Linked DNA regions of Struthio camelus. The protein of the gene in region 1 purifies or fractionates together with the protein of each later gene. This does not show direct contact. Links are inferred from orthologs where the notes say so. Each region holds a gene or a part of one and is shown on either strand. Other genes may lie near its edges. The genes, in order: DEPDC5 and MIOS.

Evidence for each region.
Region 2: the proteins of DEPDC5 (region 1) and MIOS purify together in Homo sapiens (affinity purification with western blotting; 3 studies listed by BioGRID and IntAct, with this or other methods). This does not show direct contact. The link is inferred for Struthio camelus from reciprocal best matches to the Homo sapiens genes DEPDC5 and MIOS.

The regions. Positions count from the first base shown.
Region 1 is NC_090958.1:8,397,953-8,413,631, forward strand, and holds the start of DEPDC5 (GATOR1 complex protein DEPDC5), read left to right. Parts: upstream 1-8,274; 5' UTR 8,275-8,406; intron 8,407-9,162; 5' UTR 9,163-9,284; coding exon 9,285-9,342; intron 9,343-10,117; coding exon 10,118-10,205; intron 10,206-10,933; coding exon 10,934-10,980; intron 10,981-11,471; coding exon 11,472-11,557; intron 11,558-12,358; coding exon 12,359-12,442; intron 12,443-13,144; coding exon 13,145-13,194; intron 13,195-13,890; coding exon 13,891-13,960; intron 13,961-14,710; coding exon 14,711-14,789; intron 14,790-15,679. Other genes in the region: protein PRR14L, read right to left, coding at 1-1,578, 3,190-3,271, 5,764-6,231. UniProt on the Homo sapiens protein: As a component of the GATOR1 complex functions as an inhibitor of the amino acid-sensing branch of the mTORC1 pathway.
Region 2 is NC_090943.1:29,891,669-29,907,449, forward strand, and holds the start of MIOS (GATOR2 complex protein MIOS), read left to right. Parts: upstream 1-8,409; 5' UTR 8,410-8,663; exon of another isoform or gene 8,664-8,774; intron 8,775-9,033; exon of another isoform or gene 9,034-9,137; intron 9,138-9,669; 5' UTR 9,670-9,728; coding exon 9,729-11,025; intron 11,026-11,239; coding exon 11,240-11,338; intron 11,339-12,303; coding exon 12,304-12,561; intron 12,562-13,862; coding exon 13,863-14,032; intron 14,033-15,674; coding exon 15,675-15,740; intron 15,741-15,781. UniProt on the Homo sapiens protein: As a component of the GATOR2 complex, functions as an activator of the amino acid-sensing branch of the mTORC1 signaling pathway. The GATOR2 complex indirectly activates mTORC1 through the inhibition of the GATOR1 subcomplex.

The DNA.
Region 1 (15,679 bases):
TCCTAAGATTTACTGAAGGCTTGAATTTGTCTTTTGGAAGCACAAGTTCAGTGACTTGTTCCTCCGCTGCTCCAGAAGCACCAACTGATTCTTTTCCAGATAGATTATCCTGAGCCTTGTCTCTGCTTGAAACTTCATTAGCAGTACAAGGAGTAAGTTCATTATCATGAAGTACTCTTGATTTTTGTGCAACGGGAGGTAGTTTTATATTTAGTGCATAAACCAAATTAGTTTCTCTGCCAATGGATAAACTGTCATTACTATTGGCTTCTGTAGCTTCAACTAAATTGCCAGCCAACTCTTCTGATGTTCTATTACTCCCAGATTCCTTTTCAAGCAGCTGTAACACAGGTGAACCTTTCTCTAACTTGGTACTGAGTTCCAGACAGCCATGGTTACTGGGAGAAGTAGTGTTTTTATTGCAGGTATTATAAAAGCATACATATGTCTGCTCAGTTTCAGGGGGAACAATGTTTTCTGTTTCTATCAATAGACTATTTTCTGCAGTATCATCCTTGCGCAGATCACTGACAGCTAACTGCCATTGGTCCTTTTTCCACTTACCAACTTCTGATGGGACCCTTTTTAATTTTTCTTTTGAGAAGTCCTCAGGAGATGAAGCAACAGAACTAAAAACTGAAGAATTACAATGCTCAGAATTAACGTTTTCTTGAGCTTCAGGCCAGCTGTCTTCAATGTTATCTCTCATAGCAATTTTTCTCTGGGTTTCAGTAGCGTCTTCAAATTCAGAGCTGTATGAATTATCTACATTATCATTTACTTCTCTATGATCAGATTTATCCCTAGATAATTCTTCACTCCTTGACACTGAGAGCTGTTCTACCAGTATGCATTTGGAGGTCCGGTTCTCTAGAAACCCAGTTCCATGATCATGACAACTTTGACTTTCCATGTTTTCAGGAAGATGCTCTTCCTGGCTTTCACTGTTAATTCCACAGACTGCAGTACTGCTGCTTTCTAGCGGCGTATTTCTGAAGTCCAGGTAACGGGTGCCTTTCAGAGCAGAACATGAAACTTCAGAATTTTCTGTGGAGAGTGTGCCAGAACTCTGTATTGATGACAGCCTGTCAGGTTCATTATTAGGTACAGGAACAGTACTGAAGTCATGAGCACTGTTCTCTTCGTCCTGCTGATAGGTCTGGCAAATAGCAAGTGATGTATTGAATTCATCAACAGGATTCTCTCTGGGTAGCTTTTCTTCTCTAGTCTCCAAAATAGATACAACGTTACCTCCTGTTGTCAACGGCATGACAGTACGGGCTTTTGACTCATCATATTCATTTATTTCCTGTGAATGTTCCGTGGCCGATTCAACGTTCCTGATTGTATAAGGCTCTGAAAAAACTAACATGCTGGTTTGTGAAACCTCATCACTGGCCATGACTGTGCCTACATCTGGGCACTCATCGCTCTCAGGTGGAAGATCATTACTCACTCTGTCATTCCTGTATCCTGCTTTACTAAATATCCTAGTCCCATCAGCCTTCATACCTTGTGCTTCTTCAGCAGGCTTTGGCAGAGTTTCAGCTGTCACCTGAACATTTGCTGGGTTTTCTTCTGCACACAAAAAGTAAAGAAAGTCAGTACCATACTCTAAATTCAGAACACATTCAGCTTACTACATTCCTTTTAGCACTATATAGAACATTGTGTATAGAAAAGTTTTGATAATCAACACTAAATGAGAGTTGTTGCTAGCAACTATGCCACAATTTCAAAAAAACCCCAACCAACTGAACACTCTTCCCTCCTCCCAACACCCTCCTCCCCCCCAAAACCAAACCCATAAACAAACTACCAAAACCTTATGGTAACAAATGCAATACTTTTCAATACAGACATTCCTCATGATCACATCCCATACCCTGTATTTTTCAGATTCCTGTAATATTGGGCAAGGTGCAATACAGGTCCTGTGGCTCACTACATTTAGAGTCCTGTCTAAGATCATTATGCTTAGTTGGAACATCAAAGCTCAATGTAACTGGGTACTTTGAGTTATCTGTTCTATCCTAGAAATATAGCTGTGAATTGAGCGGCCATTTCTCTCTCTTCTTCCTTGAGCGCACTCCAGTCAATAACTGATCCACAGGAAGACAATGAAGATCTCACCCTGTCCAAGCCATTATGGATATTACTAAACACCTCTGTAAAATCATGAAGAAGCTACTAAGTAAAAAATGACAGAACATTAAATAGAAGAGTTAGAGCAGAATGTCTTCATCGTCAAAACTTTAGTCATCGAGACTATAGAAGATCTTTTCTGTATTTTCAGCTAAGGATCAAGACCAGATGGCATGCCTTCAAGCAAGTAAGTACAAGCTTGATGTACTGTGGAAAGCTGAGGTTTTTTTCTGGTTTTGTTTTATGGTTCATTTCAGTAAACAGCAGTAAATACATATATCATGTGCCACTGGAATCATCATATGAGTACACTGATCAAATATTTTCAAAACGCTACCTTTGTTGAATAAGAAGCTTAGTAAGGTCTAACATGAGCTAAAAACGTAAACTAATCTAATATACCAAGCTATGAGAACTCGCCATCTTAATTTGCAAAAACTAAGCAATAAGAAGGTAAAATACAGTTGATAATTGATCCCAGTTAAAAAAAAAAAAAAAGTCAGTACATCATTTGCTCACTGTGCAGTAGAGCATGAGACAGAAGGAAAATAATCACTAGATGCAGATAAAGTGACCAACGCATTTGGAGCTAGAAGATCACAGATCATAACGAAATTAAGAACTAGTATTGCTGCCCTCTCCCTTTGAATGCTGCGTTTTCATTTTCTAAAACATTAGAAAATACACGAGTCCTACTTTTTCACACTTTATGATAAATGCTCTCACATAATCCAATTTTGAAAGATGAGGAAGCATAAAACATCTGCTATCAACAACAAGAACTTCTGCCCAGGGGTAAACAAGTCTTCCAGTGAAACAACTAAAACACATTTTGTTCGCAAAAGGTCTTTGGGAAAGTACACATACTGTCATGAAAAAGCAGAAAATTAACTTTTCATGTAGTTCTAACTATGCAGGACAATTGTTTCTACTGTAAAACAAAGAAAATGAGCTATCCAACAATCACTCATTAATTTTGACCAATGAAAGGGGATCTGGGAGAGAACCAGGGAGTAGATACAGATATACAACTAAAATGTGCACCTTTGTTCTTCAGAGATCCTGCTATTTCAGTGCAATAGATGCTTGAAAACTTCACCCCATGCTGACTTAAGTGAAGCTCCTCCTGAAACAAGACAGAAACACCAGTGAAGACGGATCAATTTTTCTGAAACTTTTCGCATGTTTCAGGAACTCTGCCTGCTCAAGTAGGTTAGTTCTGAACACCTATCAAGAAACCTCAGAACATACCAGCCCTTGGAGGGAGGGGGAAAAAGAACTAATTTGTATAAATAAGCCTGTTTTTAAGATTGATAATACAGGCAGCCTGGTCTTGAAAACAGTTCAAACAGGGCATTCTCTTTTCTTTCTGATCCTATCAATCACTAGCATCTCACCATGAGACAGGGATGCATCCAGAAAAGATCTGTATTTAGTGGCAGTGAAGTCTTGCCATGCAAGCAGCTAAGATTTACGTGGATTAAACAGAAAGCGCCCCAAATTTGAAACAGAAAAGTATTCCAGCCTACAAGTCTACCTCACCTCCCAAATCCTGTATATCTATCTCCTCAATTAAACCTCTCATGCAGAGGAAATAAAAAAGCAAAAGCCTACCTCCCTTACCGCATTTCCCATTCTGCCGTTTGAGTTTACACTGCTATTAATATAACTTCTAAGTTTTCTGGTTAGTTGGGCTACAGGAATGATACCTGAATTCTTATTATATTTCTAGAAGTGTTGAAGATGAATTAGAAGACAAGTTCAAGAAAAGGTATGTTATCAATGTATTTTCCTTAAATACACCTTTGGATTGTGTAGAATTGTGAACCTTTGAATAGCAACTGATTTCTCCTCTTACGTGGACAGAGAGATCAGGGATGAAACTGAAAAGTCACCTCCCAGACAGAGTATTTTCAAATTCATTCACTGCAAAGACTTCTTACTCATTCAGAAAGGAAGGGTTACAGAATGGCCTAGATACTTATTCTTCATATGTGTATTTAAAAGTTTTTACAGTTGTTAAAGATCCAGCGCTTACCGAATGGTTAACCCAGACTGACTGTGGTATTTGAGTTGGAAGTCTAGGTCACTCAGTCAAACAAAATTGTTGAGGTAGGGGTGGTGACAAAGTTGGAATAAGGGATCTTATCAGATGCTAAAACCTCTGATGAAAAGCATGCTCTTCACAATTTTTATTAGAACTTGCCTTTTACCATCTTTCCCTTGGCCTGTAAGAACCAGGAAGAGGTGACCTTGGTCTGCTCAGCAAAAAACTCCAAACTTCCTGCACATTTGAAATATGTGAATGCTCATCTTGGAATACTGAACAACTATGGAAAATTTAATGAATTCTGTTCTCACAGATTTACTAGTAAATCAAATAGGTAACAAATTCCAGAGTTACAAAGGCAAACTATTTTAGCTCTTACCTCCAGTAATAACTGTAAAATATGCATCTTATCCAGATATTACCTAGCTGATGTATGTTTGGTCACAACACTTTTTTCTCTCCCATCTCCTTTTTGTGACAAATCTTTACAAACTAAACAGAACTGATCAAAGAGTCACTAAAATTTCATATACTGCTTTCCCTGCAAAGTAATCATACATACAGTTCTGTAACTTTTTGAGGCACTCATAAGTGAAATATTTTCTGATACCAGTAATCAAAACAACAACATTAAGGGAGACAAGGAAAATTTGTATTTTATCTAAGAAGTGTAAAGAAATGCCGCCTGCTGTACAAAATGCAAACCAACTGTTTACCCTATAAATTTGACCTTCAACCAAGCTTCCCCTGCACTTATTTCTTAGTGTTTCAAATTTTTTTGTTGCTCTAAAATGTGCAATTTTTAATAGAAAGTTTTGAGATTTTTCAGTTTTTAATAGACTATTCTTTGGCACATTTTTCCAATATAATATTAGTATACTATTAATACAGCCAGTCTACCTTTGCTCATATTTAACAAGTCTTTGCCAGAAATAACATTTTTATCATCAGTGTTTGCTAGAGGAAAAAGAAAACGACCATGTGAGCCTTATTATTTTGAGCCTTATTATTTTGAAAAAGGAAACCGACACCAATCTCCTGTCTAATTATAAATGAAAAATCTAAGCATGAAGAAGAATCTGTACTTTTAGATAAAAAGAAACCCTGAAACCCTAAATTGGAGCCCTTGTAGCACTGTAATACTACTACCAGACTAAAATAATAGTTATTTAATGATTCGTGCCTTTACTGGGGATGATATCTGTAGATTATGCTGTACCCATAGGAGATGCAAATTGGGCAAGGCAAGCTTTTTTAGATGTTTCTTTTCTCTACCTTTTTGGTCACCTGCCTCAGTTTTTCTTTGTATTGTAACATCCTGCCCAATACTGTTCCAATGGTATTTACAAAAGTGAAAAGAAAAGCCTGATGTTTTAAAATACTGTTGCTCTACCCAGTGATAAGTGAAAGTGATAGCTTTCACCGAACCCATGAAAATCAAAAGAATGACACATACGCCAGAAGACACAAATAAGAAACAGGAAACCACATGGGCAAAATCTTCTCCCTAGTCACTGTAACCCTAAGTTCAAAATATCATGCAGGGATCCATTTTTCTATTCTCTTACTTGTTTTGACCACCAACTTTCCTCAGGAGTTAAAGCACAGCATTCAGCAAGATACTCCTCAGCATCTTGTCCCTCTTTATCTTCTTTCTGGTATCCACCAGTAGAAGAGTCTAGTCTCCTAGAGTTTCTTTTTTTGTTTTCTTCATCCTCTTCAAGGTCTCCCGATTTTAGTAATTCTTCAGTAAGGGATTCTGCTAGCCCATGAGAAATCCCCTTGGGCATATCACTCAAATTCTCTGTTTTCTGAGACAAGTTTTCTACTCCAGAAGTCCTATGATGCTCAGATGGCAAACTGTCCCTGCATGCTAGCACAGCTGTTGGCACATCAGACTTTGCATCTAATCCAACATTAGGCTCCGATACAGCCATAAGTTCAGTGGAGATGCTGACTGGCAGTCCAGTGTACAATTCCTCTACTACAGCAGACATGGAAGAATCAAGGAGGGATTCCACCCCAGATGATAGCATCAGGGCAGTTGAAGACCTGTTATCCGAAGCTTTTCACAGTTTATCCTAAAAATAAACGCAATGTTAAATCAACATACATGGGAGTAATCTCTGCCTTAGAAGAAAAGCTTCATTCTTCCAGATGCAAACATGTGTGTTCAAGAAGGGTTTTTGCAAATACATTTGTAAGGGGAGCCGAAAAGCACTTGAGTATTTAAGCAAATATTTCAAGAACAAGAGAAGAGAGCGTGGACAAACATAGTCCTAAATCTTATTTTCACATTCAAACGTCTCCCAACAGATACAGCCTTATCTTATGGAGAAAACAGGCAACAGAGCGAATCTCTAGGGCGTACGTTAGACAACCTGTTCCCTAGCTACAGCATCTTTTATTTTCCTGTGATTTTCTTAAGCTTCTGATCTTTAAGAAGCTTTTCTTCCTACCTTTCCTAACTATAAGAAAACGCCTTATAAGACAAATCATCATACGCTGTGCCTTGTAGTTTGGCTCACGTAAACAAGGATGAAGGACGAGATCACGTTATTACTGATTTTCCACGCAACATAAGCATTGCTATCATCTTCAGCTCAGGTAAGCTCTTCAGTAGGTACCCTCCTCTTGTGACAGTGACAGTACAGACCACTGTGACCACAACACCGTGGAGGTGGCTTCGAACTCCAACCTGACGCAAACGCTGCGAGCGCGACCAACAATTCCTAAAGCCTTGCTTCAAAACACTGCTCTGAAAACACCGCGATACCAGTACTTTCGAAGTTTACAAACCTCTAACGGAGATACATGCGTAAGCGCTTTCAGAAGCATCGGTTACTCGGGCAAAACACGGTTTATAAAGACACAGGCTTATCAGCCAAGGGTTGCTCTCCCTGCTCTGCCCCCCAAAGCAGCCGGGGAGCGGGTTGGCGGGCGCTGGCCAGGCGCTACCGCCCTACAGGCGAGACACACACCCCTAGCAACCCGCCACCTCTCCCCCAACGCTGACCACTCCCGGACCAACGCCAGCTCTGAGGGCGACCACCGCCTCGGCGGCCCCCGCTCCCGCAGGCCCCTTTGTTCCGCGCCCTCCGCCCCGCGCCGCGCACCGCTCCCGGCGCCGCGCACCGCTCCCGCCGAGCCCGGGCACGGCGCAGCCGCCCGCTCCCGCCGCGCCGAGCCCGGCCCGGCCCGGCCCGCCGCCCCCGCCCGCGCACGGGAGGCCCCGGCGGCGCCCGCTACCCGCGCCCCGGCGGTGGCGGCGGCGGTGGTGGGGCCGAGCCGCGGAGCCTCCTCGACCCCCGAGGGGCCCCCGCGCCGCCCCGCGCCTCGCTCCGTTACCTCAGCGGGCAGCAGCCGCCGGCCCCGCTCCTGCCCGCGCCGCGCCGCCCTCCCGCCCCCTCCACCGCGCGCATCACTTCCTCATCCGGGCCCCGGCCCCGGCCCGGGCGGGCGCAGCTGCGGCCCCGCCCCGGACCGCGGGCTGCCGTTGCCCCGCCAGCGAGCCGCGTCGGGGCTGCGCGGCCGCGCGCAGGCGCCCTGAGCGTCCCCCCGCCCGCAGGTCCGAAGCCCGCTCGGCGCTGTGCTGGGCGTCACGTGGGGCGCGCGCGCGCGGCGGCCTCGCGGGCCCCGGATGCGGAAGCGGCGAGCGCTGCCTGAGGGGTCTCGTCGCGTCGCGTCGCGTCGCGTCGCGTCGCGGCGCCGCCGCCGCTGCCGCCGCAGCGCCCGGCCGCCGGCGGGGGACGCGGGAGCGGCGCCGGGAGCGGGAGGTCAGGGCCCTGCGCTCCTCCCCCGCTCCGCTCCGCTCCGCCGTGCCGTGGGGCTGCGCTGCGCTGCGCTGCTGCCCGCCCGGGGCTGCGGGTGAGCGGCCCCGGTGAGGGCGGCCCCGCCGGGCGGGCGCGGGCCGCGCTGCGCCTCGGGCCTGGCGCGCTCCGCTCGCCGGCCGCCGCCTCGGCGCCAGGGGTGACGCGCGGCGGATGGGCGTTTGTTTAAAACCCGCCGCAGAGCTCATTGTGAAGGTCTTGTAAAGCTTTGCTTTCACCAGCCTTAAACGTCTGTCCGTCCCGTCTCCCCCCCCCCCCCCCGGGGTCTTTTCAGCGCGCTGCTTGAACGGGCACCCGCAAAAGGGGATCTGCGAGCTTGGTGCCGTAACCTGCTTCAGGCCTCCGTTGCTCCTCTGATGCGCGCTGTGATTTGGGAAGCGGGTACGGTCATCGCAAGTGCGTGTTGTAACTAGAAGAGCTCGTATTTCAATTTAACAACGTGGCTGTAAGCGTTAGGAAGAGAACCTCTGTCCATGCTGATAATCTTCAGTTTTAGTACACTTCTAAAAAGAGTAAATGGCAAAAGTAAAGCTCCTCCATAGAGATAGTCTCCCTCTTTTAAATAAAGGGAGCAGGAAGAAAAACGCGGAGGGTGCGCGGAGGGGAAGTATTCGGTGCGATAGGCGTGCAGCGCCGGCGCGCCCGGCCCTCTGCTGGCCGCAGCCGCCTCTGGTGTGCGAGGTGGAGTCCCTTGTAGTCACCGTGCAGCGCAGTGACAAAAAGAGATGATCCCTCAGCTGCGGGCATAAGTTTGAGTATTGATCTTATGTCGTTAAAACATTAGATTCAGAAATTCATCCTCGAAGTAGACAAAATCCAGTTTTAGAGAGTGATGCTACCCCTTTGATGGGAGTGCTGGTAGAAGAGGGATCTTTGCTAAACTTTTACTCTGAAATTTATTAACCTCTGTGGCATGCCAGCCTTTCACGTGTGGTGTTCTTGCCTAAGTGAGTTCCCCTGGCAGTCCTGCTGACAGAACATCCTTCCTTCACGTAATCCCTGACTCTCTGAAAAATAATTCTTCACAGAAATGTTGTTCTTTCATAATAGCAGACATGTTCCCAGAGTATAAGGAATAATTTTGTAATAACAGGAGGCCTGTGGGGTTTTTTGTTCGTTTTTCCATTTACATATTAGGTCTGCAAGATGTCATCGACTGTTTTTACTCAAAGCAGCTGAACTGAGAAGCGCCTTGGTGCTGACAGAGCCCCCCACGGTGGGAGGGACCTTCTCTTTCCAGAGAAGAACTGGAATTCAAGATGAGAACCAACAAGGTGTACAAGCTCGTCATACATAAGAAGGGGTTTGGAGGCAGTGGTCAGTATCTTCTGGCTCATAACAGTGAGACCTGCACTTTCTTCCTTATTTGAAAGCAGTGACCTGCTTTGTTGATCTTTTTAACACAACAAGAAGAGTAGAACTTTAACGAGCAGTATTGCCAGCCAAAGTGTGGAAAGCTCTTTTCAGTAGCAAGATACAGCAGAACAAAATTTATGATTGCATCTGTAAAATAAAATGGCTTTATTCTACCTCTTCTGCTTTTGTTATGTCACTTTTCATCTGTTTTCTTCTTCTGACCTTGTATTTCAGCCACCCTTAATAAGGGTGACAGAGGTGTCTTGTTATTGCTGCATGTGGATGCATATAGGGTCAGATTTTGTGTTCCTGTGTACTAGGAACAATGTTTATTTGTTTGCTCCCTACTTCTGGGCTCCAAATCATAGCATGTTAACAAAGTTTTGCTAAGTAGATTCTCTAGCTATCTGCCTTCCTGCCAGTGCTCGCTAAATGGGAAATAATAAAAAAAAAAAAAAGAAAGACTCAGCTTGCCTAACTAAAGCAGGCTCTTTTGTTGAACAAATCTGCTGTGAATGTTCTGCGACTTGAAAGAAAAATTTTTGCCTGCAAGATTGGCCAGACTGAAGTGGCTGAATAGGGGCCCTATCATGTAGTGAATATAGTGTGCTGCTAATGTGTTAATCTGGGACTAGTATATTAATGTTGAGCAGGTTCGTGCGTACAAAAAATGTCTGTGTTCGATACATATTTGTTCATTGCAGGTTTCCTCATTCATTTATGTTTTGTCTTGTAGATGATGAACTGGTGGTGAATCCTAAAGTATTTCTTCAAATCAAGCTGGGCGATGTTGTGGAAATTGCGCATCCCAATGATGAATACAGGTGAATTCTCTTTGTGCTGTTACCAGTCAAGTGTGGTTAGGGAACTGAAAGGGCATGTTCGTGTGCGGTAGCCTCTAGACTGAGGGACTACTGGTTGCTTGATTTCATAACTTTGCTTCAGGAGGTTGTTACGTTTTTTCTTCCTGAAGAAGAGTAAAGAGGATAACTATAGCAAGAGGTCTTTCCCTAAAGTTTGTGGAGTTCTTTGTGTTTGATGCTAGTTTGCTGACTGTTTGTAGGGTAAGTAGCACCTGAATATGGAGAAATATACATCGTCTTTATCTTCTTGATAAAGCTGCTGTTACCTAATGATTGCTCTTCAGTTCTACAGTATCTCCTAGGCAAAACGAAAATTTCCTAATCTGGCTGCAAAAACGTAAACCTCCTTAAAAGAAAATGTTTATTTTGCAGCTTATGTCTGAAAAGTAGGAGTGTAGCTGTTTGATGATCTGAGAAGTTTGTGTGGCTTATCTTCCCTGTTAGAGCATCACATTTAGCTAAACGGTACCTTATAGTTATAATAGGTATAAAGAACAAGAAGGGGTGTCAGGCAGAGAGGATGATGTGTGATGTTTTTAGAAAATATTAATATAAAAGTTTGTTAATGTGGTATTGCAAATGCTTAGCTGATCGCGTGCTCAATTTTGCAAAATTGTTTTGAGAGAGTGATTTAGTCAGAGTAGATTTATGTTTCAACTTTTTTGCCTTTTTTCTTTTTTGTGTCCTAGCCCCCTGCTCCTGCAAGTGAAGTCACTTAAGGAAGATTTGCAGAAAGGTGAGCCTCTAGACTTACAATATGCATAGTAAGATCATAGACAAAGATTACGTGATTGGACTGTAGCAGTGATCGAGTAATGCCATATATTTTAACTTGGTGAGAAAAATCAATGCTTTGTCTGTTTAGGAGTGGAACAATTATTATTTTATCAGGAAGTGAATAGCCAATTTTAAATCAATTTTTGGCTGGGTAATGTGAGGTGCAATTTAAACAAAATTATTGGCTTTTTAGCCTTAAATTTTTTTTCTGCTCTCTCTGACTGACTGTTTGTCGTCTTCTTGCAGGAATAATTTCAGGCTAAAGTTTATCTCCCCTGCTTTGATTTTAACAAATCTTTATTTAGCAGTAGCTGAGAGATGCTGTTGTCTTTTGCTAAGGTCCTAAATGTTTCATGAGAACTTCACTGTAATGATTTGGCACTTTAAGCCACCTGGAAACTTTTGGGGGGATGTTCACTTCTCTGTTGTCTGTCCTTTCTTCTGTGGCAGAAACTATAAGCGTGGATCAGACTGTTGCACAGGTATTCCGACTGCGGCCGTACCAGGATGTCCATGTGAATGTCGTTGACCCAAAGGTATGTGGCTTTGTAACTTTGTTTCTGTCTGCCCCTTCATGTAGCTAATTTGGAGCCCTTTGGATTTCTGTCTACAGTGGTGTTGAATAAAGGCTTTTTTTGTTGTGGGTTTTTTTGTTTTTAGTTAAAAGGTTTTTAGTCGTCTTCTGTAAGAAAAAGAGCCTTGGGCAACTGCACTATTAGTTTTCATGTGTCTTTTTCTTCTGTCCCCATTGCCCCCTCTCCTTTCGAAGTCCATAGATCAGCTTCAACATACCTTGACAGAGATGTAGAAATCTCAAAGATAATTAGATTCCTGAAGTCTCAGGATAATCATGCAGAGGCAAGAGACTATGTAAGTGGCCCAGTCAAAAGAAAAGCCGTAGCATGAATTCACATATTTTGGTGCCAGACAACCTTTATAAGAGGCATCTTTTGTGAATGTCCCAACTATCAGAAGAGCTTCAGTCAAAGTGTGCATTCAATACGAGACAAAAATCCACAGGAAGCTAGGCTTCCTTTGTTTCATGAACAGTGGAAATCATTTGTTTTACTTGTGGTTCTGATCAGCACTGGGACTCATAGCACATAGTCATGAGGCTTTTTCTGATCACGTTATTCAACATCCTGCAGCTCGCATGGGTTCCAGGTATGCGTGCAGCTTTGACAGTTGTTCTGATGGGATTTCCTTTTTGTCTTGTGTCTGTTAGGATTATTGGTTTACTTTAGAATAGCAAGTAACATTTGGTCCTGACTAGAACAGATTGAAGGGTACTGCATTGGAAACAATGAGTAGAAGCTAAGCTTTCTTCCATTTCCCAGGAGGTGACCTTGGACTTGGTGGAGCTGACTTTCAAAGATCAGTACATCGGGCGTGGGGATATGTGGCGACTGAAGAAAAGTTTGGTACGTCCTCTGCTTGCCTTACTGTGTAGGGTGCAGGAGATTGTGTACCTTTTCCCTTGCTCACTGTAAAATAAAACAAGCTTTTTACAAAATACAGAAAACTGAGGAAGAGACAAATGTCAGCCGCTCCTGAGTAGCACACAGCCGCTTACTACATAAGTGGGACATCAAAGTGGGAGAAATGCATATTAGATATGTTACGGAAAGAATTATAGTCCTATCATTTCACACTCTGTGGCAACAACGTTCATTAGTCCCTCGGACATTGAAATCACTGTTGAGAGTTTTTTCCTTCGGTTCTGAATTTTACTAATTTACTACCTTTGGAAGGAATTGAATCTAAATGTTTTTCAGACAGAAGCACACTAAAGCAGCTGTTCTATGACAAAATCACTTACTAAGCAACTATTCAAAATTCTTTTTTTCTGCATCTCTGAAATGCAGTCTGTGGTTGCTCTGTGGCCAGTTCCCCAGGCAAATGATTATTTTATTACTGTTGTTCAGCTTGGCTCCTGTCTGTTACAAGACTATTTTCCATTGTCCCATCTGGAGGTTCGTAGGTTGAGAAGTTATTTGCAATTATGGTCAGCGGCCCTCGTGTTTTTTATGGCAGGAGTCTGGTATTCAAGTGTGTTTTTTTTTTGCAAATCAATCTACTTTGAGTGTGCTGTTCTTTTAACACCTAAAACTAATCTTTCTTAGGTCAGCACATGTGCTTATATCACCCAAAAAGTTGAATTTGCGGGTATCAGGTGAGTGCTTTATTATTCTGATTTGTTCCTAGATATAGAAAAATTACAGAGGAACAGAGAGATCTCTGACTTAACAGACAACTATAAAGAGAAATGCTCTAAACTTGTATATTTTTAGCATTTCCACCTGTCAGTGGAAATAATATATTGTGAGGAACACAATCTACTGCTGCTATTCCTCTGAGTGCTTACTATTACTTATGACTTCAGATCTGTGAGTCCGGACTATCCAATGTGAGACTCTTCTCTAAAAAATCCTCCACGTTTTTTCCTTCTCTTACTCTTTTACAAACTTCCGTCTGTACTGTGAGATGAGGGAAGAGTTTTACCTGATCTGAAGTAGAAGAAACCTGTGATAGGATAGGTGACCGTACTCATTGCCTCTGTGAATGCCAAATAATTTACCTTTCACCTCTTAGAGTATTTTGCCCTCCTAAAGCTTAATAGTATACAGAAGGGGGTTACTCTGGCTGCTGTTGAGATGACAAAGGGTCAAGGAGATATGTGGATGCAGCAGAAAACAGCTCTTTGACATCTTTTGGATTAAAGATCAGTTTTTATTCAAATACACTTATACTATCTCCAAGTCATCCTGGAATGCGGAGTTTGGCACATCCCTAATTTGCTCAAAGATTGATTTTTCTAATCTCCATATTCATTCTGGTTAGTAAATATTCTTCCCTGTTTTTCTTTCAGGGCACAAGCAGGTGAACTGTGGGTTAAGAGTGAGAAAGTCACTTGTGGCTACATCAGTGAGGACACGCGGGTAAGATTTTGGGTTAGTGGGGGAAAGGAAGTTTTTCCCTTTTTTTCCTTGCTAGGCCTCTTGTAATTCCCTCTTGTTTGCAGATTTGTGTGAATCGTTTGAATTGTCTGTGTTGTAAGGTAAAGAATGGTAACAAATTCAAGAGAATGAGTAATTGATACAGTTTCTCCCTTCCGCACTGCCAGCACTAGGAATTACTTCAGCGGTTGAAATGCCAACTCCCTAGAGAGGAAGTGCCCCATGACACAGGGGGCAGAGTATCGTATAAGTCCCTCTCTAGTTAACTTCTGCAATTTGGCCCCAGTTATGCGTTCTGTGGCAATGGCAATCAGTCACTTTGTTCCGTCTCTTTCCTGCTCCTTGTAGTATGCTGGCAGCAGTGTTAACGCCACTGTGTAGTGAACTGGAGATCAAAGAACTGGTCTGTCTTGGCAGGGGGGAACCCTTTTACTGCATTAGTTCTCAGCTGGATCAGTTCCCCGATCTATTTCGTTGTCCAATTCTTCATGCTAACAAAATGCAAGAGCTCAGCCTCAAGAGCTGAGAACGAGTGCTTAGGAGTTGGTGAGGCGGGACCAGGAACTGCGTAATCTGATAGTTCTGCCAAAAACATTGTTCCTTAAACTGTATCCCTGGAGACTGTTAGGGAAGCCGTTGCTTGGGATCTGAACAGTTTCTTCTAGTTAGTGTCCTTCTTATGCCTTTAGTGAATATACCTTGTTTTTAAAAAGATCTTTTGTTGCTCTCTAGGTGGTCTTCCGCTCCACTTCAGCTATGGTTTATATCTTTATCCAGATGAGCTGTGAAATGTGGGATTTTGATATCTATGGTACGTAGGTGTAACTGACTTGCTGCCTGGCTGCAAATGCAGATGGCGGCAAGCTTTTCTGTCACTAGTAGAAAACTGAAACGTCCTGCCTTTGGCCAAGGCATTGCTCTGTGAGCTGCGCTATGGTCCCCTCTTGGAATCTGGCTGGTAGTGCCAGGCCTTTACCTCTCCTGAGTATTCCATAGTTTTCTACTCTTACTGTAAGGCCTGGGTGCTATTATCTCGGTGACTACTTCAAGGGGGCGAGCTGGGCCATGAACCCTGGAAAAGGTTTTCCTGTGGATCTGTCTGTGTTGAGTGATGAGGGCAGGTGCAAGCCTGTGCGAATCCTGAAATTAGAAATGAATGGGAGCCCTGTGCAAAGAGATTTTTGATGTTTTACATCTCTCTCGACTTATGGTTTAGCCAGGAAGCAAAAACCCTATGTTAGCCCTGGTAGAGTCAGCTAGAATTGTTAAAATTTTAGCAGTTAAGAGTGTGAGTGACTTATCTGTGTCATTGTCCTATTTTTTTCTGGCTTAATTCTTTAATAAACCCCTTTACCACTTCCTTTGACCATGTGTTTAGGCATATGTAACTGGGCAGCTATTCAAAACTGAGCAGGGGATCAGTATCTCTGAAAGATAGTACAGATGCTTTCCCAGCGTGTTGCCAACACGTTGGAATAATGAATGTAAAGGTCAGATCCCTCTGACAATATAGTAGTCTTGTTTACATCCTCTGAAGCATGGCCTTGCTTTTTCATCCTTTTTTGTCATCTTTGCCTCAGAAATATTAACATTGAGTAGGCACACAGCAAGTTATTCTGCTCTGATTCTAATAAAATTAATTATCCTAGAATCTCTGTGTTAAATTTACCTGGATCCATGAGTGTACGATTGAAGTAACTG
Region 2 (15,781 bases), on another chromosome or scaffold:
AGGTTAATAATAGTCTCAGATATCTATTTTAAGATTTCTTAAATTATGAAGATCCTCTGATCCATGCCTTCTTAGTAGGGAGTTAATTGTCTAGAACAGTGAGAGAACAGATTTTGACATACCTTATACCTTTACTTTATTCCTTTAAAAGATTCTGAAAATCAGCAAACAAGACTGAAGAGTTAAAATGGAAGTAGTTAAGCCTGACCTAGCAGTGACAGGATGACAATGAAAGGTGCTTGTTACATGTGCCATACGGCATGTATGTAAAAAGGAAGACTAAACGAGCACAATTATCATCAGTATCTTTGTGAGTCTTCCCTGAGAGTGGTAATCCTGTAAGAAGAATGCATAAGTCAAGCATCGTCAGTGCATCAAAGACTGCAGTGACATGTGCAGTCACGTAACATATGCTAGGCTCAAGATAATTTGTGGATTGACACAGTACCTAACAACACTAGTCAAGAGTGAAGACAAAAAAATGTTCACAGACTGGAAAAATCAAAATGACCTTAAACCTAGCCACCTGATCATTGCCAACACGGCTGTTGACAGAAGTATGACTGATGGCCTGCCTCCTGTGAGATGCTAGCAAACACGAGGTTAGTAAACTCATGGCATGACTGAAGATGGCAAAGTTTGTAGCTCTTACTCCAAATGAAATCTGAAAATGGGTTGCGAGATCCTGATTGCATCATTTTTGCTATATTTGTGAAACGCAGATCATCTAGCAACTTAGAAAATGTGACTAAAATTAATATCTCTATGAACAAGGGAGAGGACTTTGTTTCTCAGATGGACTTCGCTTCCCACAGTGAGAGGAAGCACAGGATACGCCTTAGTGCCATAAAACAGAAACAAAAAAGCCACATAGACAGTTTCTGCAGGCTGCAACATTTAATACAGAAGAAAGAAAAAAAGACAGCATCAGTGGGCTTGTTGAAGTCATTCTCAAAACTTAACTTAAAAAAGTAAACTGATGTTTTGGAAAAACTTAAAGCTGTGTGTGATGCTGGTGTAAGAGTGACAAGAGAACCAGAAAAAAAATGGGATTCCCATTCGGTGCCTTTTTGGAAAGCCCCATCAAAAGCATCAAATTTCCAGACTATTTGAAATTAATAACTTCTGATTGTATATTGGAAAATTAAGAAGGAGAGAAGAAAATATTGCCTCATAAAAGTTGGGTCGAAGGTCTCCAAGATAGGGCATATAAATAAATAAGTAACAATAAAGTATACTGCTGTTTAATATATGCAAAATGTTTTATGCTTTATTTTTGTTGTAATGTGTATTTCCTATCTTTGCCATAAAATGCTCATATTTTATCTTAGGACTCATAAAGCTTTTACTTCCCTTTGGTATAATGCCCATCAAACACTGAGGGAAATAACAACTCATCATATGGTTTCATATGGCATATTCATATGGTTTCCACAGAAGTAGAGGGCCACTGTGAAGCAACATATTCCCACAGATCTGCCCAGGGAGCTCACTGGAGGAACTGGCTGGGAATACTCCTCGTCAGCAGAGTCTTGGTGGGAGCTTGCTTTGCTAGCTGCAGTTTCTTCTCGGGGGCACAGACAAGCACTCCTGTGATGTCGGGCAGCAGGGACTCATCTCACAGCCTGGAGAATCTCTTTACAGTCACACAACTCACGGAATAACTGTGGTCATAATCAGGATACAGACAGCTATGCCCATATATTTGTACCAGGGAATGACGGAGAACAGTGCTTTGCTCCAGATGTTGGTTGCCCGAGCACAGACATTAAATCTTTTTTTTTCTTTTTTTCCCCAGCTGAACCATTCCATCTAACCCTGTAATACTGTCAATATGAAGAAGTAAGTAAGAATCGTGTTAGGAAACTAAATATATATTAGGCACCCAGGGTCCCTACAGACTAAAAGGTAACATTAGGTCACATCCATACTGGTAAATTATACGTGCCCACAGCCATTATCAAGCCCTGCTGTGGCCATCTGTCAAGAAAGAGCCCGTGATCATACCGTTAAGCTTTCTTAGCCTTCATAAGAGTGGCTGCATGAAAACAGAAACTGGTCATTGTGTTGTGCTGACTTTTGAACAATGCCTAGGAGTTGTTTGTAAAATTACAAGTTGGTTTGGGCCAAAACCATGACAAGGATCATTCTAGCAATTTAACTGCATAAATAACTGAGTTTTTCATGCCTGGGACTTCCCTGTCACTGTTTAGATTACGAACATAATACAGCCTTAAGAATAGGACTGCTAAAAGACTACACAGTGAGCAAGAAATCACTTAGCCGACTAAAATAAGTTGAGGGGAAACGTAGCTTAAGACTTACATTACAAAAAGAGTTAGTTGAATGCCTCCACGTAGAATCATTAATCATGATGTCTTTTTTAGACGGGTAAGTCTCATCAGTCCTTCCTCACAAATTAAAAAAAAAAAAAAAAAGAGTGTCTCCTCTTCTTCCTGTTAAAATAGCTTAGTGCTTAGAAGAAAATCCTTCTTTTTACTGAACTCAGGTTTCCCAGATCTGAGATGAATATGCTTAAGAATTAGATATACCAGGGTGAGGATTCCTGAGCAGCTCCTATGATGCTGTTCTATCCTGTGTAAATAATAAAGTACCAGTTGACCCAAGAAAGCTCTATAGCCCAGTACCTACAGCATTCACTTGGGAATCAGGAAAAGTAAGAGTAGAAACCCACATTACTGTTATCTTAATAAATATGCCAGGCAAAGAATGTTTGATCTACAGCGCAGTGACCACCAGAACAATTCATTCAGTCTGTGGCCAACTTCACAGTGCCGTCTTTTCCAAATTCCCTCATAGCTGAGGAAGGCTGCAGGACAGACGAACTGTTCTGGTGGCAACAACCTGTTTATATTTGCTGTGTTTCTATTATGAGCTCTACTACTCTATTCTTCCCATGTTTCCAATCCTTGTACCTGAACTTTTTACCTTAAGTTCTAATATAGCCTTTGTTTTCTTTTAATGCAATTGCTGCCAAGTGGACTATGAGTCATTTATCATGGGCCAGGGGCTGGATCACAGATTCCTTGGGAAAGATGGTAGTAAGAAGTGGGCTGCCAATGCTTCAGCTCAGCAAAACATCACTAAAGCCCACAATCACTCCTTGAGAGCGCCTTCACAAAACGTGGCAAGCAGGGCACATGCAACCAGGTTGCAAAAGTTGTTGCAGAGCTGATAACTGTTTCTCATCATGTTGTTTTGGATGGTCTGTGAGAAATAGGAATGTAATGCATACACAATCAATATTGTACTTGTGAGACATGTCAAGACACATGGCACTTCTTCAGATCAACCGTACTGCACACAGCAGGAGTTCCAGTCACCAGATACGGAAGGAGCCATGGCATAACACCCCTCTAAAGCCCCTTTCAGAAGCAAAGTAGCTCACCAACATATGAAATCTGGACACCAGTGCACTTTCCACTAGACTCTTGGGCACAATAGTAGTACCCACTGCTAGCTGTGCTTTCACAGAGCTAGGTATGTTCAGAATAGGGACAAACTAACTGTGGGTATCTTCAGTCTGTTAAACGGGGATCCGTTGCAAGATCTGTCTGTATCAAGTCTTTTGACGCTAAGCACTTGGAGAATTTTGCATATGCTGAGAGGCAGCAGTGATGAGTGGTCGCAGCACACAGTAATGTTTCCTTTGCCTAGGAAAGTTCACAGACTTCCAGAATTACGCAGAAATTTAAAACATCTGAAGTTTGGCCTTGCGCACCTACAGAAAAATAATTCACTTTCAACACACCCTGCAAATCTAGTTCTTTAAAAATGCAAACAGCTATCTTACCGCTGTATGTTTCTGTTAGCAATACAAACTACCACGGACTGAAGGAATAAGAAATGTAGAACTGACCCAGTGTGAGAATTACTGTGTATCAAGTGTAGCTTGCTTGTCCTGACCCTTGAACTGGAAACATCTCCTCTCCCACTCATTTACGAGCCTGCAAACTCCTGCTTTGTTACCTACCAAAGTACATTTTAATTGTCACTGTTAGAAAAGGAGAAAGTGTAGCCTTGCTAGTTACTTACTAACTTTGTTGTCATCTCATCCGTCAGATGAAGATCATCCAGGCACAGAACAGGTAAAAGAAAATTAGAAGATATCAAATGTAGTTTTTCTGCATTGTCCCTTTTCTTAGAAAACCCCATGGTAAAAAAAAAGTGTTCTAAAACTTCTAGCTGCTGCAACCATACCCTGGACATTTGGACTGTCTAGGGGATCCACACCATCAGTCATTAAAAAAGCCACTTTCACACTTTGGTTACAACCTTCAGTTTTAAAGAGCTGAGCAGCATTAGAAATTGCCTAATAGGAATAGATGCCATGGCCAATAAAACTCATACTCTTGATTTTGTCTTTAAAATTCTACACATTTTTCCAAGCTGTAAAGGGATGATCAAGGCTGACTGTGCTGCTCAACAGCATACTTGCCAGTTTGACATTATACTTCTGAGATTTAACTTGTTTCATCAAAAAAATATTGTCATGTAAGTTGTAAACAATTCTCTTCTGTGCTTCAGACAATCCATTATTTACACTTTCTGAACTGTCCAAGATATATACTGTATCCAAGAGATACATATCACCTGTAATAGAATAAAAAGTTGCAGAGACACATCAATGAACATTGCAGAAACTTGTGCCTTAGAATTTAGATAACTCACTGGACCATTTCTAGCTTTGTCCCTTCCTCCTTTGTCCCATTAAATTACCTCATTCTGCAAAAAGTAATAATGATGAAATTCTGCTCCAAATTACATCATTACAAATTTATCACAACAAGTCATCCATGCTTGATTAAAACCACTCATACCAAGGACCTAAATTCTCTTAGCCTTAAATTTACATAATAGGTTGCCCAGCAAATTAATTTACTAAAAATGATGAGCATTGTCATAATTTCCCAATGTGAAAAATAATGATTAAGTTTCATCTATGTTCATCTGAAACTACATAAATGCAGGAATAAACAGTGGAACACACTGCAATATGCACATTATATTCTACTGAAAAAAACAAATAAAATTGTTTTAATCTGGACAATTATCATTCTGTATCAGACCATTAGGCTTTTGTAGTCTCTTTCTGGTTTGTCCATAAACCATTTGGTACGTGAAGACAGCCAAAAGCATAAAACAACAGGCTGAATGTTTTAACTACATAGTGATTCTGATCCAGAATCAGATGACTTACTCTTCCTTTTAAAAGAAAGCAAGTATCTATCACACTTTGATAATAACAAGCAAATATATAGATGCACATACTGTATATGCAGAACTGGGCATTCCATTGAGCACATTTTGGATCTAGAAGCAGATTCAAAAGAATAACATAAACAAAATGGTGACAACTTATTAAATACATGCAAGAAATCACAACAACAAGTAAAATCTCAGCTGTAGCTCATTTATTGAGCTCTTTGAGAGAAAATACAGGCTGAATACACATGGTTTTTCTCATTATATTTTCTGAAGACTATCTAACTTTCAGTTCTAAGATAGGCAGATGATACCTCCATTATTACTGTAGTATTACTAGCAGAAACAGAAAATATTTTTTTAAAAACTGTTACTAACAAATAACTGAATTTACAATCCATATTTCTAAACTGAACTTTATATGTGGATTTACTTTCAGGTTTACAATGCTGAGTGTACATTCTCTTTTTCTTTAGAGGCACTGGTTCACATGTGAAATTCTAAGTCTTCACACCTTATGAGCTTTTAGTAACCGGGTATATAGAATTGTTTGGAAAATAAAAAATACTAGTCAATGTGGTAACTAATTTCTTCAATACAGATTCTCAAATATACTAATTTCAAAAACTGCCAACAGCCTAAGAGTAGTTAATTTCAAATATCATCATTAGAATTACACAATAAATTATCAGTATAATAAACATATTTATTAAACATGTTCTGAGTATTTTTTCAGCAGCTGAAAATCTATTAATATTTTTCTGAGAAGATAAAAAGGAAAAATACACCAAACAAAACAGTAATATAACAACTAGAATTAATAAGAGCAACACATACATTTATATATTCTGCTGTTTTTGTTCAGTACTCGGATAATTTCATTTGTGAAAAATGCTCTAAACTATTTATTTTCTTACCTTTCAATGCATTTAAGCAGCAAAATGTAGACCAAACTTCAAGTGACAAGGTGACCTGAGAATATGTTTTTATAGGACCAATATGAAAATGAATAGCTTCTCTTCTTATAATGAAGATTACCTTGCCTATGAATCCTTTTGGTACTGTATTCACGTTTTGTTAATCAAAATTGAATCTAGTGGTTAGGCATTTAGCCGAACTTACATATATGGGTGAAATAAAAAGTCATTTATTAAAGGGACAGAATCTATGAAGTATTGTCAGTGCTTTCTTAAATTCAATTACCAGATTTATACATGCAAACTCTGCTTATCAATAACCACTGTCGGCACTTACGTCTTTTTTGGCCATAAGATGCTTCTTTTTCCTGCTGATGCACTGAAAAATACTTGACAAGGGATGGCCGGCTCAAAGTACCATCATCAACAGTAGATAAAGAATATACTTTCTATTCTGGAGCACCCTACACACTACCTGTGCCCAGTACGCTAAGGAGTATAATTATATTGTTTAAGTTTGAAAAAAAGAAACAGAGAAGAGAAGCAGATTGCATCATTGAAAGGGCAAAAGGGCCTCCTGTATTACATGACAAAATTTCAGCAACTGATTCCAGCACTATATCCATAAAATATGTAAATACAATAAAACATTTCTTTTAGTTGATTTAAAGAGTTCCAGTGGTAGAGAATAATACCACATATTTGATATCTGTTCCAGGAACTGTTTCTTCTTCAAAATGTGTATCTAATATTCTGCCAGAAGACATCAAGAGTTATTGGCTCTTAAAATGCCTTTATCTGCAAGCCCTCTAGTATCAGCCCTGTATTCATAAGTATAAACTGACAGTACTGGCAGGAGAATATTTTTCCACATAGAAAATGTCCAAACTTTTTGGGCTTGTTTTGGTTTTCTGAAGAACTCCAACTTCAAAGATACATCACTGTGGGTACTTCAGAGGGATTTTAGGTCACTTGCCATCTTCCATCTTCTGACCACACAAGTAGATTCTCTAGCTGGCCTGGACATCTCATATTCAGCACCTCCTCTACCATATTGGCGACAGAAAAGAAGTTTTGAGTTGTGGTGCATCTGCTTTACAGACAAGGACTAATATAAAACACAACTCAACTGTGTCACCCTTTGGAGCAGAAATATTTAATTTTCAGTTGCATTAATATGTCACAGAATTACTTGCACGGAAAGCAAAATTATAGCATAGCAAAATAAAATTTTACTTAGAAAACCCCCCAACCTTCCCACGTGGAAAAGTTTTGACAGAATTTTTTATAAGCTCTATTTATCAACCATGGAGAACTTTCTTTTCATGTCTGCAGAAGTACTGGATTTACTGCATGTGCACGTGAGTAAGTCTGTATGTGCTACGTTGCCATTACTGAGAAGCACCTGGAAAAGGCAGAAGCTGGGAGAACGCCTGTTGCCAGAAGCCTATGTCACATCCCCATTCTGTGCTCGAAGGACTCTGCAGAACCATTTGCAAGGCAAACAGGCAACAGCAGGATACAAACTGAATAAAATTTCCTGGTTGGTTTTATATATGACATCTCAGTTCACATCCGTTGCATTTTTCAGTAAATAAGACCGTGTAGTTGTTTCACACTTGCTAACTGATTCTACTGACTTGTAAAATCTAGGTATCCTTGCCACTGTTGCCCTTTTCCCACCTCTGCCACTGGCCTACTTTTCAACGCACACCTTCCAGTTATGATAAAGACATTGAACAACGTTACCCTGAGCAATAAGAGTATTTCAACGAATTAAAGAAAGAAGTGGGTGTCAAATGGTCTCCTTCCCAGCTATGCTGCCTTCATGGGGCAACCCCCACTCAGCCGTAAGAATTTTTGTGTCTTCACTGGTGCCCTCACTGGAAAAAAACAACCCCTCCCCCCCGCCCCAAGCTTTTCAGTTTTAACCAAGTCAGTTGCGGGCGCTGCACAGGCCGGTCTCTGGGCATTTTGAGGGTGTCTGTTCAGGGGCAGGGAACTCAGAGCCTCCGCTTCGTTCAGCAACGCCACTGTCACCCACCGCTGTACCGGGGTACCGCGAACTGCCCCAAACCTGCCGTTTCCGCGCCATTTCAGGGCCGCACGCGCAACCCCCGGACCCGCTACCACCTCACACAACTCATCAACCGCCGCTTCCGCAGGCGCCCCGCCCCCCGCAGACACCGCCCGCGACGCCTCCGCGCACGGCCCCGCCTCCTCCCGCCTCGGCACCGCCCACCGCGCCGCCGCCGCCGCCCGCCTCGCGGCACGCGAGGGGCGGCGCTTCCGCTGGACCAATGGAAGGAGACAGCAGCGCCGCAGCCCGAAACTGGAGGTTCCCTTCGCCCGCCCGCCCCGGAAGTGGCACGAGCTTTTCTTCCCCGTTGCCCCCCGCAACCGGAAGTCGTTGTGCGCCTCCCACTCGTGCCGCTGGGCCAGTGGGGCCGGACTGGGCCGCGGTCCCAGCCCCGCCGGTGGCGCGGCGGCGGCGGCGCTCTCGGAGGCCCCGCGCGGTGGGTGAGCAGCTGCCGCGCCCGAGGCGGGACGGGGCGAGGCGGAGGGTGGCGCTCCGCTCCGTTGCCGCCACCGCTGTGTCCCGGCGGGCCTCGCCGGCGGCGTCCTCGCTCGGTGGGCCGCTGCGCCGGGGAGGCGGGGCCGGGCCGGGCTCCGGGCTCCGGGAGGGGGGTGCCTGCGCTGCCCTGGAGCCCTCGGGAGTCCGGCTGGGGAGCCGCGGGAGAGCGAGGGCGGGGAGAGTAACCCGCAGACCCCGAAAGGAGGCTGGGGAAAGGAAGTAGTGCTTTGTTTCTTATACTTTCCCCGTCTGCTAAATATTTCTCCCAAGTTTAAAAGGTTATGGGATTGATGAGATCCTTTTTTTTGTGTGTAGGCACATGTAATTAGTCTGGACGTTCACCTGCTGAAAATGTAAATGCAAGTTAGCATAAGCGTGAGTTTATGAACGCCTCTCCACGACATATCAACAAAATCAAGGTAGTGTTGGTGCAGAAAGTAGTATTAGGAACAGTAGAATAAGATGAGGAGTGGAAAGTTGTATTCCTCTACAAATGTTCAAAGAGAGTAAGCCTTTTTAGGCTTCAGAGAAAACAGGCAGACTCTAATTTCTGTCAGTGCACTTAAATTAGGCAGAAAAATTTTCTTATACATGTTCTAGGGTGTGGCTCTTTACCAGCAGCACACTCATGGATCATGCCACATCACGTTTCAGTTGATCCTTTCTTCCTGGTATAATAATGATGTAATACTGGCATGGATTTTGTAGACACACTGAACCCTGTTGTCAGTTTTGTAGATGGCTATGTTGGTTTCTCAGGAGGTATAGTCCAGCAAAAACAAAGCATGCTGTAGGGAAAGTGATGTAACGTGTAGAGCGCTTAAGGTTTGTTTAGCCCTTAGACTAAAAGTAATTCAGAGCCTTACTCTTCTTTGTTTAAGAATGATCTCTGATTATGAAGGGGTTTGAGGGTTTTTTTGATAACATTGCTAAAAATTACTTTCTCAACAGTTTCTATGTGAATGGATATCACCTGAATCCTCCTACAAGAGTTTAAACTTACCCTAAATATGAGTGGCTCCAAACCTGATATTCTTTGGGCCCCACACCATGTTGACCGTTTTGTTGTATGTGATTCAGAATTAAGTCTTTACCACATTGAATCTGCTGTAAGTTCAGAACTGAAGGCAGGGTCCCTGCGGTTATCAGAAGAAACTACAGCTACGTTATTGTCCATAAATTCAGATACACCGTATATGAAATGTGTGGCTTGGTATCCAAAGTACGATCCTGAATGTCTTCTTGCTGTTGGACAGGCCAATGGTCGAGTGGTACTTACTAGCCTTGGTCAAGATCACAACTCAAAATCTAAAGATTTGATCGGCAAAGAGTTTGTTCCCAAACATGCACGACAATGTAATACTCTAGCGTGGAATCCACTAGACAGTAATTGGCTTGCTGCTGGATTAGATAAACACCGGGCTGACTTTTCAGTATTGATCTGGGATATTAGTAGCAAATTTGCCCCAGAGACGGCAGTTGCTACAGAGAAGGTGAGACTTTCAGCAGGAGATCCAGAAGCAGGACTGGTAGTAACAAAGCCGCTTTATGAATTAGGACAGAACGATGCTTGTCTCTCTCTTTGTTGGCTTCCACGGGATCAGAAGCTTCTTTTAGCTGGCATGCACCGAAATCTTGCTATCTTTGATCTAAGGAACACAAGCCAAAAAATATTTGTAAATACCAAGGCTGTTCAGGGAGTGACTGTCGATCCATATTTCCATGATCGTGTAGCTTCTTTCTATGAAGGTCAGGTTGCCATATGGGATTTGAGGAAGTTTGAAAAGCCTGTTTTGACCTTGACAGAGCAACCAAAACCTCTAACAAAAGTAGCATGGTGTCCAACAAGAACTGGACTGTTAGCTACTTTAACAAGGGATAGTAATATCATTAGATTGTATGACATGCAGCATACACCTACACCTATTGGAGATGAAACTGAGCCGACAATCATTGAAAGAAGTGTCCAACCCTGTGAAAACTACATTGCTTCATTTGCTTGGCATCCCACAAGTCAAAATCGAATGGTGGTAGTGACTCCCAATAGAACTATGTCCGACTTCACAGTTTTTGAAAGGATTTCTCTTGCGTGGAGTCCAGTAACATCTTTAATGTGGGCTTGTGGGCGACATTTATATGAATGTACAGAAGAAGGAAAGGCTAGTTCCTTGGAAAAAGACATAGCTACCAAAATGCGGCTGAGAGCTCTATCAAGATATGGTCTTGACACTGAACAAGTGTGGAGAAATCACCTCCTAGCTGGAAATGAGGATCCTCAGCTGAAATCGCTTTGGTATACGCTGCATTATATCCTTTATTTCACTGTATTATTTTATGGTATTAATTCTGAAGAAGTAACATACCTTTATATGTAAACCAATGATATGAAAAGCATGAAAGTCTTAAATAATGCAACATCCTGTAAATACTTTGTGTATGTTAATAGCATATGATCTTTTAGTTTAAAAAAATGTTTTCCAAATGCTTGGGGAAAAATTAAGCTTCCTATACATGAAAATACTCATGAAGCAGTATACTGAAGATATGGATCAAAAACTTACAGGAAACAAAGGTCCCTTAGTTTATGCTGGCATTAAATCAATTGTGAAGTCATCTTTGGGTAAGAATGTTCCAACTTTAATATGTTATAGCATATTTACACAAGGATGCACTTGTGGGTTCATTTAAAAAAAAAATTAAAAGAGGCTATATAAAAACATAGAAATGAAGAATTTTTGTTTATGATTTAATATATATAACTCGACAGTTTGTATTACAGTAATTTCCAGAATTTTGGGTGTTCTTTGAAAGTCAGTAGTCATAAAAAGAAAGTATCCTTCGTGTTTGAAGTACATCTGTAATTGAACTATTTCAGAGGGGTGTTTTGACTGTGATACTGAAAATGCTTGTTCCTCCTATAACAATTTGTTATATTTTTCTAAGTTCCACATAAGGGTATGGCTCTAGAAAAATGTCCTTATTGTAGTTACTGCTAATGTAATAAATGCATTTATCTAACTATTTAAGGAGCTTATCTTATTTTGAAGTCATAATTGCCCCTTGTGCATCACGTTATGCCTCTCTTGCTCAGTGAAGTTTTTGTTAATTTAATCTGTTATTTGAATCTCTTCTTCTGTGTTCATTGCATGCTTTATTAATATTTATGCTCCTTAGAGCAAAAAATAACTCTTCAGTGCTGGGGAAGCTTCTAGCATGTTTATGCCTGCTGAGAATAAGAGAACTGATAGAGCACATGCTTAACTGGGTATTCTGTATTTTCAAAGTCAACGCACAGATCACTCGTATCAATTTGGTAACAGGAACATCCAAAATCCTAGAGTTTAGAGAAGAAGACTTGGTGGGAAACGTGTGTCAAGTTTAGAGGTGTGATTTTTAGCAGATCAAAATAAAATCTTATGTATGCTGCTGCTGCTCCTTACCGTTGAGTTACTAGTAATGTTAATTTGAAGTAGTAAAATATGATACTCAGCTTTCGTACTCTGCTTTACTATTGAAATCAAAGTGTTACAATTGCAATTTAAATGTTTATTTAAGTCATGATTCAAGTCTTTTTCCCCTTTTTAGGAACAACAGAGAACCTCAGACATAGCAGGAGTGGATCGGATAGACAGGCAGATATTATTCAGTATCTCAGTGAGGAGAGATCCTTGGCTTTGCAGCTCTGTGGGTGGATAAAGAAGGGAACAGACTTGGATGTGGAACCTTTTTTAAATTCATTGGAACAGGAAGGAGATTGGGAGCGCGCTGCTGCTGTAGCACTTTTCAACTTGGACATACGGCGAGCAATACAAATCCTAAATAAAGGTGCTTCCTCAGGAAAAGGTGTGTATTGTTTAGTATCTTTTATTTTGGAGTCCTCTATCATCTTAGTAGATTTTTTTCTGTAAACAAAATTCTGTAAGGCAGTATGAAAAGGTACCTTCAGTCTTATTAAATACCTGCTTGAATTTGGCAGTGGTTGGGCTGAAGCCCGACAATTTGACAAACACTGATCTTTCACTCCTTTCTTTAGTCTCAGTTTAAAAATGCATTGTTGTATGCTCTACTTTCTAATTAAAATAGATTGTGTGTTTTAGAATTTCCTATTGGTGCATACCCCAAAAAGGTGTTACACTAGTGGAATTTTTTTTTCTTTTAATGGCGTGCACGTTAGTTAGATGTCATGTATATCTGATTCTGTTTGGCTGCGTGCTGCTTTCTGCCAGTGCTGTGGCTGTGGAATAATTAAAATAAAATTTTCAGGATTTGCAAAAAACACTTGTTTTGGAGTAATATGTGGGTAGAGTTACAATGTATGAGGGAAAAGTTAAAGTTTTTAGAGCCAGCAGTTGGAAGTGTTTTTGTTCTGCTTTCTTGCTAGTGTTACGTCTGCGATTCTGATTTCCACCTGTGTTCTCTTATAAAAGCCTGTTTTGATACTGAAACAAAAATAACTATATGCACTAACGTGGGTAGGTATGATTCTGAACACAAAAGGAGTTATTAAGGTTCTTTTAATATTTGATAAATACTAATTAATGGGGGGGGAGGGAATCTATATATGTATGTCTGTGTGTATTTTACATAGGAAAGGTTCAGAGGTCCAGACTGGAAACTGGTCATCTCTAAATTAAAACAAACAAACAAACAAACAAACTTTCTGACAGAATGGAATTTATTAACTTAAAGTTGTTATGAAATTCAATTGTCATTCTCCAGCTAGCTCTATTAAGTAATGGCTATATGTGCGATCCTACCTTTTGTTGTAGATATGAATTATGGTAATGACAGTGTTTTCTGATAGTAGTAGGGATACATGTAGCAGTTGAAAACTATTTTAAAAACACCAGAACCAGTGTGATGTTGCTGAAAGCATAACTCGGGTAGTCATGTTTGTGGGCTTGTGTTTTTGAGATTTGTTAGCTTAACCTGAACAAAGGTATTTAAAGCAGAAACTAAAAAATGCTAGTGTATGCAAATTTATTTTAGTGATAATTAAATTATTAGTGATAATTGTACATCGTTTGCTCTTGCATTTTTGACTAAATATTTTATTTCAAAATGATGCTTTCAATTATGTTTTTAATTGGATTGTTATGTCCTAAACTCGAATATTATTTCATTGGTTGTTTTTAATAAATCAGGTGATCTGAACCTTAATGTAGTAGCAATGGCTCTATCGGGCTACACAGATGAGAAGAACTCACTTTGGAGAGAAATGTGCAGCACTCTAAGACTGCAACTGAACAATCCCTACTTGTGTGCCATGTTTGCTTTTCTGACAAGTGAGTCAGGTTCATATGATGGTGTTTTGGTGAGTAAATTTCTGTTATGTTAAAAATCCTTTAATGTGTGTGTATACACACACACACACACACACACGTATGTATATACTGGAAGTGCTATATATGAACTCCATGAAGTAATCAGAGTGTAATATTTTCTCTAAATAACGGCCAATACTTTTCTTCTAAACAGAAGAAGAAGTATTAGTGAGCATTGCATTAGCGAATTAAATAAATAAAAAGATGCATAAGCAGCCAAAATATAGGTATAATTCATATAATTTTTAGAGGAACTATAAAAGACTTCTTCATATATAGTAAATCTATTAAAATTCAACCTGGAACTTTTAAAACATCAGAAATACATTTCTTTCCTCTGCTTAATTATTTGGTAAAGGAAGAGAAGTTGATAATGGAAAAAAATGAAACAAAATGTACAGGGAAGATCACAGAAAGCTTAATAAGCTATCTTGTCATTGAATTTTATCTTATTCTTTCATATTTATTTGTTAAAATAATTTTACTTTGCTGAAATAATATGTAAAATGATAGTTTCATATCTTCTGAAATTAGTATAAAATTGCTGTGTGGAAAAGCAAACCACTTTTTTTTTTTTAATTTAATTATATAATATTTTGAAATGCTAGAGAAGTCACATACTTGGATCCTTGGTTAAAGAACATCACCAATGGTTCAGTAGAAGTTCTTTAGTCCAAGGGAGGACTGCTGTATTAAATAAGGGGTATTAAATAAGAATAAGATACAAGATACGAGCACCTGGGGAGAGAAACTTGTTTTTTTTCTTCCTTCAGTCAAGAGAAAATGCTCTTGCTTTCTAGATGTTAGGTAATCATTTCATAGTTTTTCGGTTTGGAAACTGACAGATCATAAGGTGTCCTTTCATTTTAATTTTTCCTTTAATGATGCTTGTTGAAATTTCCATGAAAAAGATTTTGCCAATCACGTTTTCTTATCCTAAGAATGACAGGAGGGATAAATATGGGCACAACTAAGTATCAGAGTATTTGCTCTGGTTAAGGTAGGCCTAGAGAATGTAGTCAGTGTTTTTCACTCAGCATCGGGTCTAGTAAAATAGGATTAGAAAGTAGAAAGTGAATGCTATTACATTGCTGCACTTCAGATGCCAATATACCTGACAAACTCTTTGCGTATGTGTGTGGTTTTAGAAGGCAATTTTGTGTTTAGTCTAGCTATTTCAACAATGTGGTAAGTGAAAAGCTGTTTGGGGCGGGGGGGGGGAAGTCAACCCCTCCCATCCCCGCTATGACTTGGTGAGACTCTTGGCTATGTGTCCTAGAAGCATTGTAGCCCAGTGCTACACAACTTGCAGAGTTTTTGTTATCTAGAGTTTACATAAACCATATAGGATGTGTTGTACCAGGCTTTCCTGCCATTTAAGTAGACTTTTCCAGGTAGCCATAGTCTTGTGCACTTGCACATGCTCTCTCTTGCGTGCACACTCTCTCTATATCTCTTGAGCATAAACAAGTCTGCTGATACTTAGCATTAACTTTGCTCAGATGTGATGCTTTCTTTGTAAATCATCATAGTATTAGCTGTACAGTAACACAAATGTTCTGATTTTTACAATGTATTGAAAAATTGGAAACTTGGCATGTGATGGTAGTATTCTCATTTTTCTCTCCCAAGTATGAAAATAATGTAGCTGTACGAGACAGAGTGGCATTTGCTTGTAAGTTCCTCAATGATGCACAGGTAAGTGTGCGGCTGTGTATCTGAGCAAACCGTTAAACTGT